Linked DNA regions of Caenorhabditis elegans. The protein of the gene in region 1 interacts with the protein of each later gene in a biochemical or structural test. Each region holds a gene or a part of one and is shown in the gene's direction. Other genes may lie near its edges.

The links.
Region 2: the proteins of ced-5 (region 1) and ced-2 form a complex in vitro, tested with the Caenorhabditis elegans proteins (one study listed by BioGRID).

What each region holds. Positions count from the first base shown.
Region 1 is NC_003282.8:10,479,712-10,488,929, forward strand, and holds the start of ced-5 (Dedicator of cytokinesis protein 1), read left to right. Parts: upstream 1-4,398; 5' UTR 4,399-4,413; coding exon 4,414-4,444; intron 4,445-4,487; coding exon 4,488-4,844; intron 4,845-4,893; coding exon 4,894-5,087; intron 5,088-5,134; coding exon 5,135-5,271; intron 5,272-5,318; coding exon 5,319-5,536; intron 5,537-5,764; coding exon 5,765-6,853; intron 6,854-7,169; coding exon 7,170-7,248; intron 7,249-7,296; coding exon 7,297-7,428; intron 7,429-7,590; coding exon 7,591-7,876; intron 7,877-7,972; coding exon 7,973-8,134; intron 8,135-8,180; coding exon 8,181-8,497; intron 8,498-9,218. Other genes in the region: egl-21 (Carboxypeptidase E), read right to left, coding at 1-221, 274-477, 1,880-2,056; F01D4.5 (PHD-type domain-containing protein), read right to left, coding at 3,082-3,098, 3,139-3,358, 3,409-3,552, 3,597-3,781, 3,832-3,937.
Region 2 is NC_003282.8:1,592,731-1,603,653, forward strand, and holds ced-2 (Cell death abnormality protein 2), read left to right. Parts: upstream 1-4,587; 5' UTR 4,588-4,589; coding exon 4,590-5,028; intron 5,029-7,447; coding exon 7,448-7,650; intron 7,651-8,441; coding exon 8,442-8,639; 3' UTR 8,640-8,891; downstream 8,892-10,923. Other genes in the region: npp-8 (Nucleoporin_N domain-containing protein), read right to left, coding at 667-1,224, 2,437-2,638, 2,685-2,781, 2,841-3,075; putative histone-lysine N-methyltransferase set-23, read left to right, coding at 10,258-10,856. UniProt on the Caenorhabditis elegans protein: Required for cell migration and engulfment of cell corpses but not for programmed cell death/apoptosis. Has a role in the migration of the 2 gonadal distal tip cells (DTCs).

The sequences.
Region 1 (9,218 bases):
GACAGAAGATGATCGAACTTTGGAACTCCAATCTTTTGAAGCTCATAGAAGATGCTATCAAGATCTGGGAAGTCTCTGTTGAGATCGACTCCGTTGATGTTGGAACGTCCAGTGAGCCATTGTCTTTGAGCTGGCTCAGTGCCAAGAGCAAGCTCGAAACCATCTGGGTTCATGGATGGAAGGATGTGAATTGAGGTAGAATTAAGGAGTTGGACGATTTCCTAAAAAGTAACACTTGTTTAAAATTTATTTCGAGGAATTTCAAACACTAACCTTATCATTATTGATAGCTCCATTGCAGAGAGTTTCAGCAAAACGAAGCAAGAGTTCTCTTCCGATTGGCTCATTTCCATGCATATTTCCAATCAGTTTAACTTCCGGTTTCGTTGGAATATGCTCTCCAGGAGTTGTCGAGAATTGGATAACAACCAAAGGACGTCCTTCAACAGATTGACCGATTTCATAGAGGGTGGTGATCTGAAATTAGAATTCTCCGAATTTCTTTATTTTGATTGAATTCGATTATTTCGCATGAGCGGACGTGAAAGAAACGAGGAAAATAACATTCCCAATGAGCTCATTGATGATGAGAGTGAGCACACATGAAAAATCGAAACACGCATGATTATTCAGCCAGCTGCCACGTCACCTGATTTCATTTTCAGTTACAATTTTTTTAGAGAAAAACAAGACGATGCAGACAAAAAAATCGTTGTCTGCTAATTTTTAGCAAAATTGAATTCATGACGCATTAGACAGGGTTGATAAGGGATTTTATTATCGTTTAGTATTTTGTACTAGAAAAAATAGAAGAGGTAGGGGATTTGTCTGAAAGCCACGTCAATTCAATGAATGAAGTGGGCTAACTGAAGAGTTACAGTATGGCCTAAAAATAGACGATAAATATCTAAAAGGTCTTTAAAATCTTTTCTCAAAAACCTTCTTTCATCTAAATCAGATGATGAACGCGTTGGTAAACAATTTCTAGAACAGTTGGAAAGTGTTCTTTTGATCGAAAAGCTTGGAATTCAATTACCAAGATTCATCTTTGATGACGCTGATACACTTAAACGTGAGAACGTAGTTAACTTTGTGCCCATCTACGTCAGAATTTTATTCGGAAGTTTAGATTAAAACCATGTTCTAAATGGGATTTTTTATGAATTCAGACTAATTGGAGAATATTAAACATAGTTCATATCACTTTTGGACTTCTGACGAAATCAATGTAACTTCAATTTCTGGAAGCTTTTTGAAAATGTTTATTTTTTCCAAAAAAAACACTCATTAAGTTTTAAAACTATTAAGAAACTATGACTTCACAACATTCTGTTGCGTAATTTCTGCCAAGTTATGAGAACGCATTTCGCGATAATTTGGAAAGTCTACCTAATATGGGGCTATGTTCGTTTGGTTCCTTTTTTAAGAAGACGTCATTTTATAAAATTCCAATTACCAAGTCAAAAACGAAAATGAAAATTTGGCTAATTTCTGGCACATACTTTCATTTTCTTTAATTAAAAAAATGGATAAACCGAAGGAACTAGTTGTTGAGTCATTTTGATAAATTGATCTTTAAACAGCTACTCATGAAATACTTAATCCCAAATGTTTTGTAGGAATGAACAACCAAAATAATAAATTCAAATTCTCCTAGAAACAGCGAACGGAAATCTCGTGGCTATGGGAATCCGTTTCTGGATTTTTTTTGTTCTTTTTTAATATTCTAGTTGGAAATAGTTTCAAAAGAAGTTTCGTAGAAAAAAGGCTTCTCTCCGAAGAAAACGAGAAAATTAAAAAAAAAATTTCAGATTTCCTAGCACGGCTCGAAAACATCATTCACTCAAAAATTCAAGTTTAGAACCCAATTTCCACTCACCTCTGGGCACTTTTCATTGATTTCTCCCAACTTTGCTTCAAGTTGTGCTTGATTGTGATAGTGTCCCCATTCGGCATCGTCCTTGTGTGTGGATCCGCTTCCGAATCCGAGGAAGGCGTGGGCGGTAACGGCTAGAAGAGCCGCAACCAAAAGCACCGGCCGCATCGCGTGCAGCATGTTAGAATGAGAGAAAAGTGACGGAGCCCCTCACTTGAAGAAGAAGAAGAAGCCGTGGACTCTCTAGTTGTCTGTGTCTGAAAAAGAGCACGCCTTCGATCGATATGGAGCTCACTGGATGTTTGAATGAAGAAAATGAGGGGGGAAAGAGGGGTTAGAGAAATGTCGCGCGCTGTGGAGACCAGCTTTTCCCTTTATTCTATTTTTTCAGATGACGTTGCTCAACGGCTTACTCTCAAGAGCGCTTTTCTGCGTCTCTGAGGTCTGAAAGAGAAAGTAAATGAAAGCGGGGGTCGAGAGTGAAAGAGATAGCTTAAGCTCATGCTAATTTCCTTCTTTTAGAAAAAATTCAATGACGTGTCACTTTTTCGGGGTGAAATTTCAAAAATTGCGTTTGAATTGTTATTCACTTTTCATTGACGCGCGAGCGCATCTGATAGGTAAATGTTCGCCAACATTTTTAGCCTATTATAGGGAAGCAGAAAAATGACTTTTTGAAATCGACGTGAAAACTCGCTCCTTGGTTAATTGAAAACGCTCCGCCCCCGAACCATGGGTCTCGTGGTATTTGGAGTTAAATCCGTAAATTCGATTGTTTTCAAATTTTTTCAGCTTTCTCGTCTTTTTAATGATTTTATGGCAAAATTTAAGACTTGAAATTTTCAGAAAACTAAAAATAACAAAATAGACAAAAGATGGTTGAAATTTATGCCAAATTCCTGACGAGACCCGTGACTCGGGGGCGGAGCGTCATCACCTAGATTTCAAAAAGAGGAAATTTTCTGCATCCCAATAATAACAAGAATCGTTATTCAAGTGTTGCGAAAATGTGGAGTTTCAATAAAATTAAATTTGTATTATAAAACTGAAATCTTTTATTTCGTTGTTTCAGTGTGCAATTGGTAAAACATGGGACATGAGAATGTAAAAAATGAAAAAAAAACATAATTGAAAAGCAAAACTTGTTTGATGAGAAATGAGAATCGATTTTTCACGAATTGCACAAGAGAGCGTGCTCGTCGAGTTTATAGCCTGTAAAAAACTGATAAGAGTGGGAGGTATTTTGTCTGGAATGTCTGTACCTTTGTTTTTGGCACATGGGTAATGAATGAACGTGTTTTTCTTATTTTGTACAGAAATTGCGGCACCAGTTTTGCGGCAAACTATGCACGTTTGAGACCAGAAAATATCGATTTGATTATCCAGATTTGTTAGCTGATTGCCGTGAAGATGCACATTTGGAGCCCATAAAACACATGAGCCATGGAACCATAATTCGATTTTTGTAGGTTTTTTGGCAGTCTGAAAAGTTAATTAATTTTTAGATTTTAGAGAATGGGATGGGTTGTTACAGGTTTCTTAGCCAGGAAAGATGGCCAATATTTAATTGGATTATGTGTTGCATAATATGGTCCAAAAAGTTCTCGTTTCTCTCCATTTTCGTGGCACAATGCACACACATAGGAAGATTCAATGGCGTCTGACTGCTCTTCCCACTGAAAATTAATAATAAAAATTAGATTTATCATTTTAATCGTACCTGAAAAAGCTTTGTCATGTGAAAATCCAAAGTTCGATTGACAGTTGCTTCGTGATTCCCCGAATTTTTGATAACTGATTTTCCATTTCTCACTTCAAACATCGGAGTCTCATCTTTTCTATTTGATTTATACTTTGAACCAAATTTTTGATTTATTTGAGTGGCCATATTTTTGTTCTCTTCGTCTGTAAATCAAAGTGAAGAAAAAATATTTTTATTATAAAAACCAATTTACACTCTTCATCTTCCTCATTTCTTTTCTTCTTCTTCACACGTCTCCGTTTTTTGGGTGGTGATTTATGCACTGAATTTGATGTAGATTCTAGATCATCAATTTCCATTGGTTTTCTGGAATTTTTTTTCTGATTCTATAGAAAAAAATTTAAAAATATAACACGAAGTTACCATAAAATATAGATATTCACATTATATTTATGACAAAACATGCATTTTATCGGTTTTGTTATACATTAACTATTAAAATATTAAATTTAAAACTGTTAAAAATTCAATGGAATCCAAAACGTATACGGTTATTCTGCCAATTGACTTCCAAATTCATTCTCCCGGCAACAATGGCCTAGGTTCCACAAGCATAAATCCTCGGCCACGGTTTGTGGACTCCTCTCGGATAAACAGTTACTCATCAGAAATAAACAGTTCTCGTGATATTTACGTTTGTTTCTCACAGAAACTGTCTCCGTTTTGATTTGTATATTTATATTTGATATTTTAAATTAATATAACGTAGTTTTAAATTAAATTGTCCGTTTTAATTGAAAATTCAAGCTTAAATCTTCAGATAAATGAGTTCGTAATGGCAACGACGGGTTTCTATTATGCAATCGGTTTGTTTTCACTTCGCAACTATTTAAATATCTTATTTTTCAGTTCAATACACATTTGAGGATCCGCTTCCATCTTGTGATGCTCCACGATTAGAACTTTTTATTGGCGATCGAATATGTGTTTACGGGCAGCACGGAGAGTGGGGATATGGTCGAAAATTTGACGAGAAAAATGGAAAATGTGGGATTTTTCCACTTGCCTATGTACAAATCGTTCAAAAGTCCATGTTCGTATCGACAAGTGACGGATATCTCGTTGTGGATGAAATTTCCAGAGTTATTAATGAATGGTGGACCAAAATTAAAGAATTGATGGTGGAAACGACAAGGATTGGATCATTCGAAGACTTGATGGATAGTTTTAATGAACTACTAATAATAAAAACTAAAATCGAAAGTGGTAATTTTGTTTCTTTATCAGGAATATAGTAAAATAATTATGCTTTTAGGTGGGATTCCAATTGAAGAGTTGAGCAAACTCCGATTGCGCGTTTCAAAACTGGTAGACCGTGGAAATACAATTCTTGGCCAAGATGTAGTGATTCGCAATGAAGAGGGTGTTCCGCTTGACGTTGAATCACTTTCACTTCTTAGAACATATGAAGCACACATTTCTTCGAAAGGAAGGGTCGGATCATTGATGGTATACTATTTTTTCTCTTACAAGCAATATATTTTTCAAATTTTCAGCGGGAGAAACCTGAAAATGTTACAATCAACGATAGTTTCTCATTGCTGCTCTCCATTAAATCTGTCGAACTCCATTGTAAATATTCCTGTGAAATAAGCATATCACTATATGATCTGGACAAGAAAATGTTCACCACGTAACTCACAATTTTTCTGAAAAAGACAATAGTTGCATTATTTTCAGAGATAGTTATACATTTCTCTGGAACAGCGGTAGTGGAAAACACACGGATTTAAATTTGAAAGCACTGTTCACTGATTTTGCAAAAGAAGATATTCAGAAAAAGTATTTGATGGTAACTCGAGTTGTTCATGTATCACCGATTGAATCTTCTAATGCTACGATGAGAAAGCATGGACATCACGAAGCAACTATACCAAAGACATTTTATTGTAGGCAATGTGAGTTTAAATCACAAAATGAGCTAGTGTAGCATGTTCTCCCAGTAATTTTCGCCAATTTTTGGCGAAAATTGGTTTTTTTATTTTTATTTTCGCCTATCAATATCACTAAATTTTAATGAAAAATATTGGAAGAACATGCCCACTGCCTGATTTTGTAGAATTACCGGTTAGTAATTGCCGCGCAACCCTGGTTGGAATACAAAAATTTATTGCTGCTACTTTCAGCGTACGCCTCGGACATCATGGAAATGTCAAGCATCTTTCTTGCTGGTGTTGGCCACGAAGCAAAAGAACGTGTAATTTTCCTGAATCGAGAACCAGAACTTCCATTATCTCTAAAAGCATATCACGCTACAAATCGTATACCGAAGAATTTAAGCAACGATATGGAAACAAAACTATTGATAAGTACCCAATTAGTTCCTGGAAATGTTTCTCAAATCAAGGCAAGACACCCACATTTGTTCAGTAGATGTCCAGCGGCGATTCTACGAAGAGCTGATAGAACAGCAGTTTCAATTGAAGATAGTCGAAATGAGATGTATATTACTTTAATGCAGGCTGAATTATCTGGAAAATCATCTGATCGTAACATTGAGGCACGTCTTCATGTCGTGGAATCAAATGGACATGTTATGGAAAATGTTTTTGAGACTATTTCGGTTACTGGTTCGCAACTTAGCACTGTCTACAAGAGTATTGTAGTTTATCATACTGACAAACCAATGTGGACGGAACCAATAAAAATTGCTCTTCCCTCATGTGCTTCTCATGATGTATACCTTCGGATCTTATTTTATTCGAAGAAAGCATATGACAAACCAAAACCAGAAAAAGGACCATTTGCAATTGCACATGTTCAACTCATTCGAAGTAGTGCTCTACTCTGTGATGGTGAACATGACTTGGCTGTCTACAAAATTGATAATCCAGGATCTCACTTTGATGAATCAAATGTACATTATATGAACTTACCTGATACCAGAAGAACACTCAAAGAATCAATTGGAAGCGCGAAACCTCATTCACAGGGTTTTAGTTTGAGTGATAAAAGTTTTGTGATGATATCCACTCATTCATGTTCTTCAATGTTAACTCAAAATGAGCATTTGTTGAATGTGTTGAGATGGCGTGTAAATTGTGTCAACCTTACATCTTCATTGGTGGCTCTTGCTCAACCAATTGGAGATACGGAACACGAAATGATTCGATTCTTCTCACATTTATTGGATGCACTCTTTGAAATTTGGCATGATCGTGAGACTTCGGAGAAAGTCGTTTTTGATGTTATCGTGGCGGTTTTAAGAATTTGTGGTAAGTGTACAGCTTTCTGACATTTTGTTCAGTTAGAGAAAAGTTCCGGCGAAAATATTTGTTAAGCAAATTACAATTTTTCGCTGAAATGTTTCCTGACAAAATTGAATTATCCGTCGAAAAATTGCCAGAGAACATTTGAATTCTCCGCCAAAAATGTTTGAATGAAATTTTGAAATTCTTGCCATATTTTTTCCGAGAAATTTTTCTTAAGATAAAATTTTTTTATCAAAAAAAAAACTAGCGGTGCAGCTGACCATAAATTTTTTTTTCAAATATTTCTTTTTGGATAAAGTTATTTATTTTAATATTTCAGAGGAGCCACGACACTACCCACAGGCTGCAAAAATATTCGAAGTGTATCTGAAACGATTTTCATTTACTTCAGCGGCACTGTAAGTTTTCATAGATTACACGTATAATTCAAATTCCTTTGTTTCCAGAAAAATTCTAAAGTGTCTCAATCACTATGTCATCTCGGATTCAGAAGATTCAAATGAGAAAGCGAGAAATGCATTCAAAGTTATGGGTCCTCTCTTCAAATTAGTTGTCGTGTCGAAGAAATGTGGAATAAAGTACGTTTTCCAAATTAAAAAATCAGAAATTTCATCTTTTTGATTTCCAAACTTCGCAAACCAAAACTGAAAAAATAAGCAATATCATGAAAAACCGGTTTAAGGTCACAGTTCGATTGATTCACCAGTTCACTGTCAAAATTCATTTTTTTTTGTTTTCAGATTCGAAGAGTTCGACGATTTCGAAAAGACTTATAAGCAATATCTTCGAGAATTTATGAAATCACTCGTAGCTCTCATGTCAGAAAAGAAAGCAAAAATGACTGTTCAGAATACAGCTCTTAAAAGTATTCCGACGATAATTGATTTGCTCAATGAAAGCGATTCGGTATCTCCAGAGAATCTTTGTGGATTTATTGTTGATTTGATGAATAATTTTGGATCAAATATTGTTACTCGTGAGCGGCTCAATTTTATTGCACAGATTGTGGAAACTCGGTTCTTTTCGGTAAGGAAATATCTTTAGATACATTATTTTAGATAGTTCCCAATAATTTGTCTTCATGCAAAAATTACAAAATATCCGAATTAAATAAATGTTCAGCTTTCAATCTGCCGAGAACAACTTCTGATTCCATGTCTTCAAATCGCTCTTGACATAATACAAATCGACAATATGGCAACCGAAAAAGGAGAATTTGCAGATCGTGCCGCTGAGTGTGCCAGTATTATTGCTGCTATTCTGGAGAGACTATTCGCTGACGCGGTACTAGATTATCATTCGTACATGACAAGTATTTCATATTTTACAGAAAAGTGGTGAAGGTAACGCTGAGAGAGAATTGACATCATTCATTTTAATGGTTTATCGTCCACTTGTTCAAGCAATGATTCGAGTAATCCACGACGACAAGCACACTGATGATGATGCTCGTGGTCACTTTTTCTCTGTAATATTGGCATTATTAGACAAAATGTCCGCCCAAATGTTTAGTGAATATGTGGAAGAGCGATCATCGGATATTGATAAACGTGATTTTCTCATGGAAATGGTTCAAATGATTCGAGATTTACTCAATCGAAATGCCTTCCCATCTACTTGGAAAGATATGATAATGTTGCAGAATAAGTGAGTTTAAATAAATTTTCGGTTTTTTCGCGCCAAAATTGTCTGAAAAGTACTGTAGTTTTAAACCAAGGGTCGGTTTCTTCATTTTCAGAAAAATCCAATTTTTCAATAATTTTCGATGACTTTCTATTAAAATAAATATTATTTTTCACATGAAAGTCAACATATTTTTGATAAATTTATAGAACATTTTTCCATAAATTTTTCAAATTTTTTCTATTTTCAATAAAAAATCGCGAATTGAGACAAAAGTTGAGAAAAAAATTGTTCAAAAAAAATGTTGCCGAAATTTCCTGATTTTTATACAAAAACAAGTCTAAACAATTTTTTAACATACAAAAAATTTGTATTTAATGCGTCACACTCGAGTGGTGATATTGAAAATTTGATTTTTCATGTATTTTTTGAGTTATTTAAAAAAATTTCTCGAAATCGGAATTTCACATTCAAATGTTTTGTATGTACTCTTTTAAAGGCGGAGACCTCTTGGAATTTTTAAACATTTGTCGTGTCGAGACCGGGTACCGTACTTTTGGCGCAAAATGTCATGTCTGGTTAATATAATTCATCAGTATTCATTCAAAAAAATATTTGAAATTTGGAATATCGTAAGCAAGAACATAAACTGAAGGTCAAATTTGAGGAATTGTATTGTCAAGTCATTGCTGGGTGTTCACAGTGCAAACAATCTTTTTTTTTTTCATTTTTCCTCACTTTTCCC
Region 2 (10,923 bases), 8.9 Mb from region 1:
GGCATCCTTTAATGCACGTTTTGGCATTTTATTACGTGTAATTTCGTTGGCAGAGATGTTTTTTGGCCAATAGGGACGCATATATGATACAATTTTGCGTCCTCATTGGCCAAAAAACCATCTCAATCAACGAAATAACAAGTAATAAAATGCCAAAAAATGCATTGAAAGATGACGATCAAATAAAAATTAAGATCCCCAACCGCTGCGACTCCGAGAAGTTGCCGAAATTCGGGGCTTTAACTAAAAATATGCCATTTTTTCGAAAACTTTGAGCGGCCATAACTTTTTTTTTGAAAAATTTTCAGAACGTCTCATTACGAAATTTGGTAGTTTTGGATTATTTTGGGTCTAAAAAAAGGAAAGTCTCAAATTTCGGTACTCCACCTTTAACTTTTTATAGTCTTGAAATTCTGCTCTAAAATTGATTGGAGCTTCAAAAAAAGTGAATTTGAAAAAATCGCTCAGTTTCCTGGGTTTCGGCCGAAAATTTTACAATTTTTGCCCAGAAAGCTCGAAAATATCTAATTTTTAATGGTTTTTTTTAAAGTAAAAAACTTTCGACGAGAGCATTGGTTTAAAAACTAGATACAACTTTTTTACTCTTTTTTTTTACTCTTGTTTGTTAAATCCCGATTTTTCCAAATTTTCGGCTAAAAAACGAACTCTTTCATTAGGTGTTCCACTATTATTAAACATAGCCATCGTAGACTGCGGGCCCGTCGACACTGAAAAGTACAATCGAACTCCTTTGGCAGTAGTTGCAACTAGGTTAAGCGCAGCCGATTGTGAAGCTTCCAACGCCTTAATCGATGTAATACTGTGAAAAGATGTCTCATCGTGACCGAATTGCGTCAGAATATGAGCTTCATGTGCAATTTTCGAGATGGGAACACTCAAAAATTTGGCACAAGCTGCTCCATCCGCTCCGAGATCCCAGACACTGACGGTGCCGGCTCGGCCGAGCAAATACATGATATTTCGGGATTTATCGATTGTAATCTGATCGAGGGGCTCTTTTGAAGAGCCGAAGAATGGTAGAGAGATCAGTGTTCCGAGAATTGATGCAGTTTGATTTACACCTCGACACTTGTGATTTGTGGAGCCAAACCATCCGTTTTGTTTCTCGTAGACGAATTCGAAGAGTTGATCGTCGGCTGTATAGAATACTCGACCATTTGAAGTATACGAAATATCATTCACTGTTGCTCCGTCAAGGGCTATCTGAAAAAAAAAATTGGGGATTTTCTAGAGAAATTGCTGAAAAAGCTCAATTTTTGGAGTGTTTTCCAATGTAAAATTGCGATGAAATTCATATAAAAATTGACGATTTGGGGATTTTTATGATAATTTTGGCTTGAAATGGGTTTCGTTTTCAGAAAATATATTTAAAAAAAATAAAGAGTATCGTCTAAAACTAGTGATATTTTCAAAATTTTCGCTCATTTCAGAACAATTTTGGCTTAAAATTGAGCTTTTTAATGGGGATTTGCCAGATACAACATAAAAATTTGACGATTTTCTAGAGAAATTGCTGAAAATGGAAGATTTTTCTGGAAATTATGTGAAAAAATAAAATTTGAGCTCAATTTTAGAAAAAAAATAGACTTAAAAGGAGCGTTTTTATGTACTGGAATTATAGTAAAGTGCTGGAAATTTCAGATTTTTAAGGAAAATTTTGGCTTAAAATGAGCTTTTTTTTCAGAAAAATTAATGAAAAATTGAAGATTTCCGCAAAAAACTGTGTTTATTTTCAAAATTTTAAATTTTTTAGAAAAAAATTTGGCTTGAAAATACCGTTTTTGTGTTATATTGAAGTTTCTCGTCGAAAATTACTGTTATTTTCGAAATTTTAGCTCATTTTTGAAAAATTCTCGCAAAAAAAATTGAGCTTTTTAATGGAAATTTGCGATTTTCTAGAGAAATTGTTGAAAAGCTCAATTTTTGGGAAAATTTAGGCTTAAAATGAGCTTTTTTTATCGGAAAATAAATGAAAAATTGGAGATTTTCGCATAAAACAACACATATTTTCGAAAATTCGGCTTGAAATGAGCGTTTTCAACGACAAATTGTTCTAAAAAAAACGAATAAAAATTGAAGATTATCGAAATCCCCAATTTTTGGTTTGAAATGAGCATTTTTGATGTAAAATTGCTTTGAAGACTCAAAAAATTAGTCAGAAACTCGGATTTTCAAGTTTTCGAGTAGAAAAAAAAACAGAAAAGCGTTATCAGCAAATTTGAGCTAGAAATAGACGAAAAATCCCGTTGTTTAAATTTTTTTTGTCGATTTTTAAGTAAAAATCGCACGGAACATCGATTTTCCCGTGTTTTGAAGACTCAAAATCTCCAAACTTTTGCGATTTTTGATTCAAAAACTTGGGTTTTCTTGGTAATTCTTCCTTCTTTTTTCTCCATTTTCACTCGAATTTCGAACCTTGAAGCATCGTTTTGAGTCGATAGAAATGCTACTGGCGCCATTTTCCACGAAATCAAAGACCGGATAAAGACATATATCGGAAATTGTGCCGACAACGAGCCCATATTGAATTTCCGGCTCAAAAACGCCTGGCTTGATGTTCACCAGCGACACCTTCAGAATTGCAGCGTCTGATGAGTCGAAAAACGCCAAATCGTCGCTGAAAATTCGATTTTTTTTCGGTATTTTTCGGCTTTTCCGCTTACTTTGTCTCGTAATTCCACATATAGAGATTGTTATCAATGACGACCCAAACTCGGCTGATTTGTGTGAAGAATCCCATGCTAAACTCGCTGTGAATATCTGAAAATTCACCAATTTTTCGCTGAAAAACCCCCCCATCGGAAACAATGCTCTCTCACTGCTCATTTGCATTTGAAGCTCTCCGGGTATTGGGATTCGCCGTGTGCTCACAAACTCCGGCGCTCCCTTCACATAAAACTTCTCGCCGAGACCGGAGACGGGCGTCGTGCCGTGTTGTGTGAGGCGATCGAAGAAATCCGATGTCTCCATCATCTGCTCGACGTGGTGTGCCACCTTGTTCGCCGCCGCTTCTGCCGAGTCGGCCGAGCCCAACTCCATAAACGAGACACTCATCTCGGAGGATGGAAAGCTGCTGAAAAAGTCGGAAAATTTTGAGTGATTTTTGATATTTTAACCTTTAAACTTGAAAATTATAGCAAAAAACTGTAAAAAACCCGGAAAACTTCCCGCAAAACGCAACTTTTCGCGCAAAATTCCGAATTCAAATTGCAATGCGGCGCGGAAAAGTGGGCGGGGTCGCGTGTTGCAAGTCCCCCGCACACCTCATCGTGTACTCCTCTCGGACAAGCGCAACAGCTGACAATTTATTTTTGCGTGCAAAAAAAGTCGTTTGTTTGCAATTTCTCACCAGTTTTCGGAGATTTTCTTGATTTTTTGCGGTTGCGCATCGTAAAATACGTATTTAAAATGTGTAAACTTTGGCTCCAGTCGACAAGAAGCTTATGAGTCATTGCCTGGGAAAATTGCTCATCAATTTCCTCATTTTTACGAATAATTGGTGTTTCAATGCGTATAAAAACAAGAAATCGGTAAATTTAGTATGAAATATATTCGAAAATAAAGGTTTTAAGCGTATTTTTCAATTTTCTTCTACTAAAAACCGAACTTTAGCCTAAAAACCTGCTTATTCTGCTCGAAATTCTCGATTTCGCCATGTTTTCCAATTTTTTAACACAGTTTTTCAAAAAAATTCTTCATTTTTCCCATAATTTAGCCGAAAAACTCAACTATTTTGCCCTCTTTTTCCCTAAAACTCGCCATTTCCTACCAAAATTTGAAAATTTTCACTGTGTCCAATCGATTTTTCTTCCTAAAAGTACCATTTTCTCCAATGTTCATTTATTTTTCAGAAATTTTCACTAGAATTACTAGATTTTCTGTGCCAAAACCACGATTTTCAGCAATTTCTTTCTTTAAAATCTTATTTTTTGCCATTTTAAGGTACTTTTCCAACGAAATTCCTGATTTTTTGATTTTTCCACGCAAGTTTTGGCCGATTTTTAACTGATTTTCAGCATTTTTTCAGCCAAAAAAACATCCATTTTTGTTCATTTCCTGAATTTTTTAAATGGAAATTCCTTGATTTTCTTGGAAAATCACGCTAATTATTATTCAATTTCCAACTTTTTCATCCAATTTTCTGCCTATATTGACTCGTTTTCCTTTAAAAAATCGAATTTTCACCCGTTTTTTCACATTTTCAGCAATGTTTAGGTTGAAAATCATATTTTTATTCATTTTAAAATATTTTTTCCCACGAAATTCTTGATTTTTTTTTTGAAGATTTTTGCGTTTTCTTCTCAAAGATGGTGATTTTTGGCCGATTTTCATAAATTTTCGCTCTCAAAAACAAGATTTTAAGCATTTTTCAGCCGAAAAAACTTTCCCCTTTTATATAATTTTTCTTGATTTTTCGTCTTTTTTTTCTGGATTTTTAGGAATTTCTCGTGATTTTTGATGATTTTCCGTCTATTTGGGTTACGTTTTCCAGAAAATTTTCCCAACTTTGACCAATTTTGCGCGCCTAAAAATTCCACGTTTCTAAACAATTTCCCGCATTTTCAGAAATGACGACAAACGGGTTCGATCCATTCGAGTGGCGTTCATTCTACTTCCCAGGAATGAGCCGTGAAGAGGCTCACAAGTTGCTCGGCGAGCCACAAGTATCGATCGGCACCTTCCTAATGCGGGATAGCTCACGCCCCGGTGAATATTCACTGACAGTACGTGAAGCCGACGAGGGAAATGCCGTTTGTCATTATTTGATTGAAAGAGGAGAACCGAAAGAAGATGGAACTGCTGCAGCTGGCGTGAAAATCGCGAATCAGTCGTTTCCAGACATTCCGGCGTTGTTGAATCATTTTAAAATGCGAGTTTTGACTGAGGCAAGCCTGCTGGCCGCCTACAAGAAGCCTATCATTGAGGTTGTCGTCGGAACATTCAAATTCACAGGGGAACGAGAGACAGATCTTCCGTTTGAGCAAGGAGAGCGGCTCGAGATTCTTTGTGAGCTTTAAAGCAGCACTTTTTTGATTAAAGGTGGACTAAACCCTGTGGGGAACTTGCTTTATTGAAATTTAAATTTGCCCATCGAAAACGTCAAAAATTAACTAAAAATCTCAATTTTTCGGCGATTTTAATTGAGAAATGGCTTGAGAAAGTGGTAAAATTTGGCAAAACTTGGTTTTTAATAGTTTTTTTTTTGCATTTGGCTTCAATTTCCCCGAATTTTCAGATTTTTTAATCGAAAAAGTGCTCTTAAAGCTCACAAAGAATCTCGAGCCGCTAAATCAGTGGATTTTTCGGGGATTTCACGAGAAAATTGACATTTCTAGTAGTTTAAATGGCATTTTCCGAACCTTTGTTCTTTCTTCTCTAAGAAGTGCTCGAGATTCCAGAAATTGATTTTTTTTCCAGAAAAAACGTTATAATTGTGAGGAAATCGACATTTTTTCTTGCATTTGGCACTATTTTCTCCGAATTTTTAGATTTTTTAAAGGCGGACCCAGTGGGGAAATTGCTTTAAAACACGCCTATGGGGCCACAATGACAGAATATCATGATTAAAAAATTCAAAAAAATTTCCCTGATTTTATATGATTTTTTGAAAATTGAAAAAAAATCTCAGTTTTCACCTAATTATTTTTGAATTTCCGCCAATTGGATTTTTTCAATGGAGCGCGCTTGCATTATTTTCATTAATTTTCAAAATTTTATTTCTTCTCATTATTGGACTGATTTTCTTCATTTTTTGGAGTTTTTCATCGGAAAATGGAAGAGAAATAAACAAGAAAAATGCAAATTGTTTGTTAAAAATTAACTGAAATTTTCTAAAACTGTGATTTCTTGAGTTCTGACAACGACAAGCCTGAAATTAGTATATTTTACAGTTTTACGCATTTTCAGTTACTTTTAAAAAATCATTTTGCATTTTTCTTGTTGTTTTCTTCGATTTTCCGATGAAAAACCACAAAAAATGAAGAAAATCAGTCCAATAATGAGAAGAAATAGAATTAATTAATGAAAATAATGCAAGCGCGCTCCAACGAACGAGTTCAATTGGCGGAAATTCAAATAGGAATTAGGTGAAAACTGAGATTTTTTCAATTTTCAAAAAATCATTTAAAATCATAAAAAAAAATTTTGAATTTTTTAATCATGATATTCTGTCATTGTGACCCCATAGGCGTGTTTTAAAGCAATTTCCCCACTGAGCGTAGTCCACCTTTAAATAATCTAAAAATACGGAGAAAATAGTGCCAAATGCAAGAAAAAATGTCGATTTCCTCACAATTATAACGTTTTTTTCTGGAAAAAAAATCAATTTCTGGAATCTCGAGCACTTCTTAGAGAAGAAAGACCAAAGGTTCGGAAAATGCCATTTAAACTACGAGAAATGAGTTTTCTCGTGAAATCCCCGAAAATCCACTGATTTAGCGGCTCGAGATTCTTTGTGAGCTTTAAGAGCACTTTTTCGATTAAAAAATCTGAAAATTCGGGGAAATTGAAGCCAAATGCAAAAAAAAAACTATTAAAAACCAAGTTTTGCCAAATTTTACCACTTTCTCAAGCCATTTCTCAATTAAAATCGCCGAAAAATCGAGATTTTTAGTTAATTTTTGACGTTTTCGATGGGCAAATTTAAATTTCCGATTGTTACCATGTTAGTGAGAAAATGAGCAATTTTCAGTAAATTTCCACCCATTTTCTCCTGTTTTTATTGGAAAATGGTAAATTTTGACTGTTTTTCAAGAAAACCAGAAACTTTTGGTAAATTTCCACATTTTTTTAATCCAAAAAGCCGCAAAAATGTTAAAAATTTACGTTTTTCAATGGAAAAATGCGATTTTCTACAAAATTCGCCTAATTTTAACCCGGTTTAGTAGAAAAATGCGAAATTCAGTGCATTATGACTATTTTCCTAATGAAAACAAGAAATTTCAGTCATTTTTACTATTTTCAACTGGAAAATGGAAAGTTTCTGCGAATTTCGACTGTTTTTCACGAAAAAACAACAAAATTCGATCAATTTTGCCATTTTTTCACGAAAAAAACTTTTATTTTATGAAAAAATTCAAAAACCCGGACTCATCGTTGTGAGACCCTGTCCACCCACCCCACTGCGCCTTTAAACTTGTGTCGATTTACGCGGTGTTTTTTTTTGGAGAAACTCTATTTTCGGACGAATTTAAACTGTTTTTAAGGCAATTTTTCACTTAAAACCGCAAAATTATCTGAAAAATAAAATTATAAACGAATTTTATAATGGAAATACGAAATTTTACCTGTAAAAACCATAAAATTTGAAAAAAAAACCGTGTTTTTTGATTTTCTCCCGTTTTTCTCAAGATTTTGTGCATTTTCCAAGTTTTTTTCGGTAATTTTCCTCGAAAATACTAGATTTTTAATAATTTTTTTTTTCCAGCAAAAACGAACCAGGATTGGTGGGAGGCGAGAAACGCGTTGGGAACCACTGGATTAGTGCCGGCAAACTATGTACAAATTCAGATGGAATTTCACAATGACAGAACCTCAAAAGGCGCCAGTCAATCGTCGATCGGAAGCAGCGGAGGTGGCGCCGAACGATTTTCGAGCGCCAGCACGAGCAGTGATAATATTGAGCTCCAGGTGTGGAAAATTGCCGGAAAAATCCACAAATTTCAGATTTTTTGCTGAAAAATTGCGTTTTTTAGTCAATTTTTGACATTTTTCGATGGGAAAATTTCGAATTTCGAGACGATTTTCCTTGTAAATTACAGAATTTTAATGGGAAAGTTGGATCTGAAATTTCTCTTTAAAAATTTGCTCAATTTTTACCGTTTTTAGTGAAAATTCGGTCATATTTTGAAATTTTCACTGAAAAAAAAATGGAAATTTCAGTCAATTTTTAACATTTCTAGTGGAAAAATCGAAAATTTCCTAATATTTCGACCATATTCCAAGAATAAACGAAGCATTTCAGGCAACTTTGACATTTTTTCACGGAAAACACCAATTTTTAGATTTTTCTATTGGAAAATGCGAAATTTCAGTCAATTTCCATCTTTCTAATGAATATTCAATGATTTTTTATTAATTCTAGTTGGAAAATGTCAAATTTCAGTGAATTTCGGCTGTTTTTGTCAAAAAAAAACGAATAATTTCGATCAATTTTGACCTTTTTACTTAAAAAAACTTTTTTTTTTTCTCAAAAAATTTAAAAATCCGGCTCATCGCTGCGAGACCCTTCCACCAACCCTACTGCGCCTTTAAACTTGTGTCGATTTACGCGGTGTTTTTTTTCGGAGAAACTCTATTTTCAGGCCGTTTTCAAGTTATTTTCCACCTAAAATCTGCAAAATTAACTGAAAAATGAAATTATTAACGATTTTTATCATGAAAAACATCTCCTAAACCGAAAAAAAAATTCAATATTTCAGCCCCGTCTGCCAGCAAAAGCCAAAGTGACGTTCGATCGTGTCCCAAACGCCTACGATCCGACCCAATTGCGTGTGAAAAAGGGGCAAACAGTGCTTGTAACTCAGAAAATGTCCAACGGAATGTACAAAGCGGAACTCGACGGCCAAATTGGCTCGGTGCCTCATACATACCTCAGATTCACCGCCGTCAGCGAATAAAATCGTTTTTTTTTTCTAAATTTTTAACCTTGAAATTTATTGATTCGCTTGCCCCTCCACCAGTTTTCCTCTAATACATTACAGCTTTACCATAGAAAAAAATCGTTTTTTTTTCCAAATTATATTTATAATGATATCATGCACAATTTTCGTTGCCTTTTCCGCCCACCGAACCCCAATTCGTGTCCATTCCATTTTGTTCACTTTTCCCTTTCAACCTGCCGGATGATTAATAAACCGTTTTAATTATGATTTTTTCGAATTTTTGTTGGAAAATGAGGTGCTATAGAGCCTCTGAGAGTACTTTTTAAGAAAAAAATGTCATAATTTTGGAGTTTTTTTCAAAGTTTTGAAAATTTACTTGAAGATTTCCAGCAAATTGCAAAAAAATCCGATTTTTCGACGTATTTTGGTGAATTTTCGGCCTTTTTTTTTCGAATTTTCTCTGAAATTGCAATAAATTCTGGTTTTTCAGGCTAAAAAACGGTCAATTTTTTCTATTTTCAACTGGAAAATGGAAAGTTTCTCTGAACTTCGACTGTTTTTCACGAAAAAACAACAAATTTTGATCAAATTTGCCATTTTTTCACGAAAAAAACTTTTATTTTATGAAAAATTCAAATACCCCGGGCCATCGTTGCGAGACCCTTTCACTCTCCATACTGCGCCTTTAAACTTGTGTCGATTTACGCGGTGTTTTTTTTTTGGAGAAACTCTGTTTTCTGTCGAATTTAAACCTTTTTCAAGCTATTTTTCACTTAAAAACGGGAAAATTAACTGAAAAATTAAATTATAAACGATTTTTAACGGTTTAGTGCAGTTTTTTAAAATAAAATTTCAGAAAATTTAGATTTTAAAGCCACATTATCGAATTTTGCCGATTTTTTCTCAGATTTCTATTGAAAACCCGCCGTTTCCTCTTAAAGCTGAAAGATTTTCCCCAAATTTGAACCATTTTCTCGCAGATTTCGCCTAGAAATTCGAATTTTTGGGGCAAAAAATATAATTTTCCGAATTTCGTCTGAGATCCCGCCTAGAAATGTGAAAAATTTGATTTTTTTTTTTGGATTTCAGTAGAAAAATGTTAAAAACTGGATTTTCTCCCGAATTTCGATAATTTTGTTACAGATTCCGCCTAAAAATGTGATAAATTCCGAATTTTTTCACTAAAATTCTTAATTTTTTAGAAATTCAGATAATTTATAGTTTTTTTTTCAGAGTTTTGAACAATTTTCTTCAAGATTTCCATTCAATTGCAAGAAAAAAATCCGATTTTGTATGAAAAAATCACAAAAAAAATTTGAAAGCTCGGCGTATTTTTCTCGATTTTTCTTTGAAATTGCTATAAATTCTTGTGAATTTTTTAGTTAAAAACGGTTTTTGTGAAAAAAAAAACCAACATTTTTTCGCAGATTTCGCCTAGAAATTCGAATTTTTGAGGCAAAAAAAATTACAATTTTCCGAATTTCGTCTGAGATTCCGCCTAAAAATGCGAAAAAATCCGGATTTTTTTCGTGGAAAAATGTTGAAAAATGGATTTTCTCTCGAATTTCGACAATTTTCTGATAGTTTTTTGTTTTTCCGCCTAAAAACTTACAAAAATTTCAAATTTCAGATAATGAATTATGAGAAAATTGATAGCACAATTCCCGGGCCAGGAATCTCTGAAACCGACTGGAATGACGTATTCGAAGGATGTAACTGCGAGGCTGAGTGCTCTTCAGCCGCCGGTTGCTCGTGTCTAATCAATAAAATCGATAATTACACTGTCGATGGAAAAATCAATAAATCATCGGAGCTTCTAATCGAGTGCTCCGATCAATGTGCCTGCATACTGCTCCCAACTTCATGTAGGAATCGAGTTGTGCAATGTGGACCACAGAAAAAGCTGGAAATTTTCAGCACTTGTGAGATGGCAAAAGGATTCGGAGTTCGAGCCGGCGAGCAGATAGCCGCCGGCGAATTTGTGTGCGAATACGCTGGGGAATGTATTGGCGAGCAAGAAGTTGAACGGAGATGTCGAGAATTCCGAGGAGACGATAATTATACGCTTACGTTGAAGGAGTTTTTCGGTGGAAAACCCGTGAAAACGTTCGTAGACCCGCGCCTACGTGGAAATATCGGACGGTTTTTAAATCATAGCTGTGAGCCGAATTGTGAGATTATTTTGGCTCGCCTTGGCAGAATGATTCCCGCGGCGGGGATTTTTGCGAAACGGTGATTTTTTTAAGCCGTTGGTGACGTATTCACTGCAACTTTTTCCTCACGAGGGATGAGGAAAAGT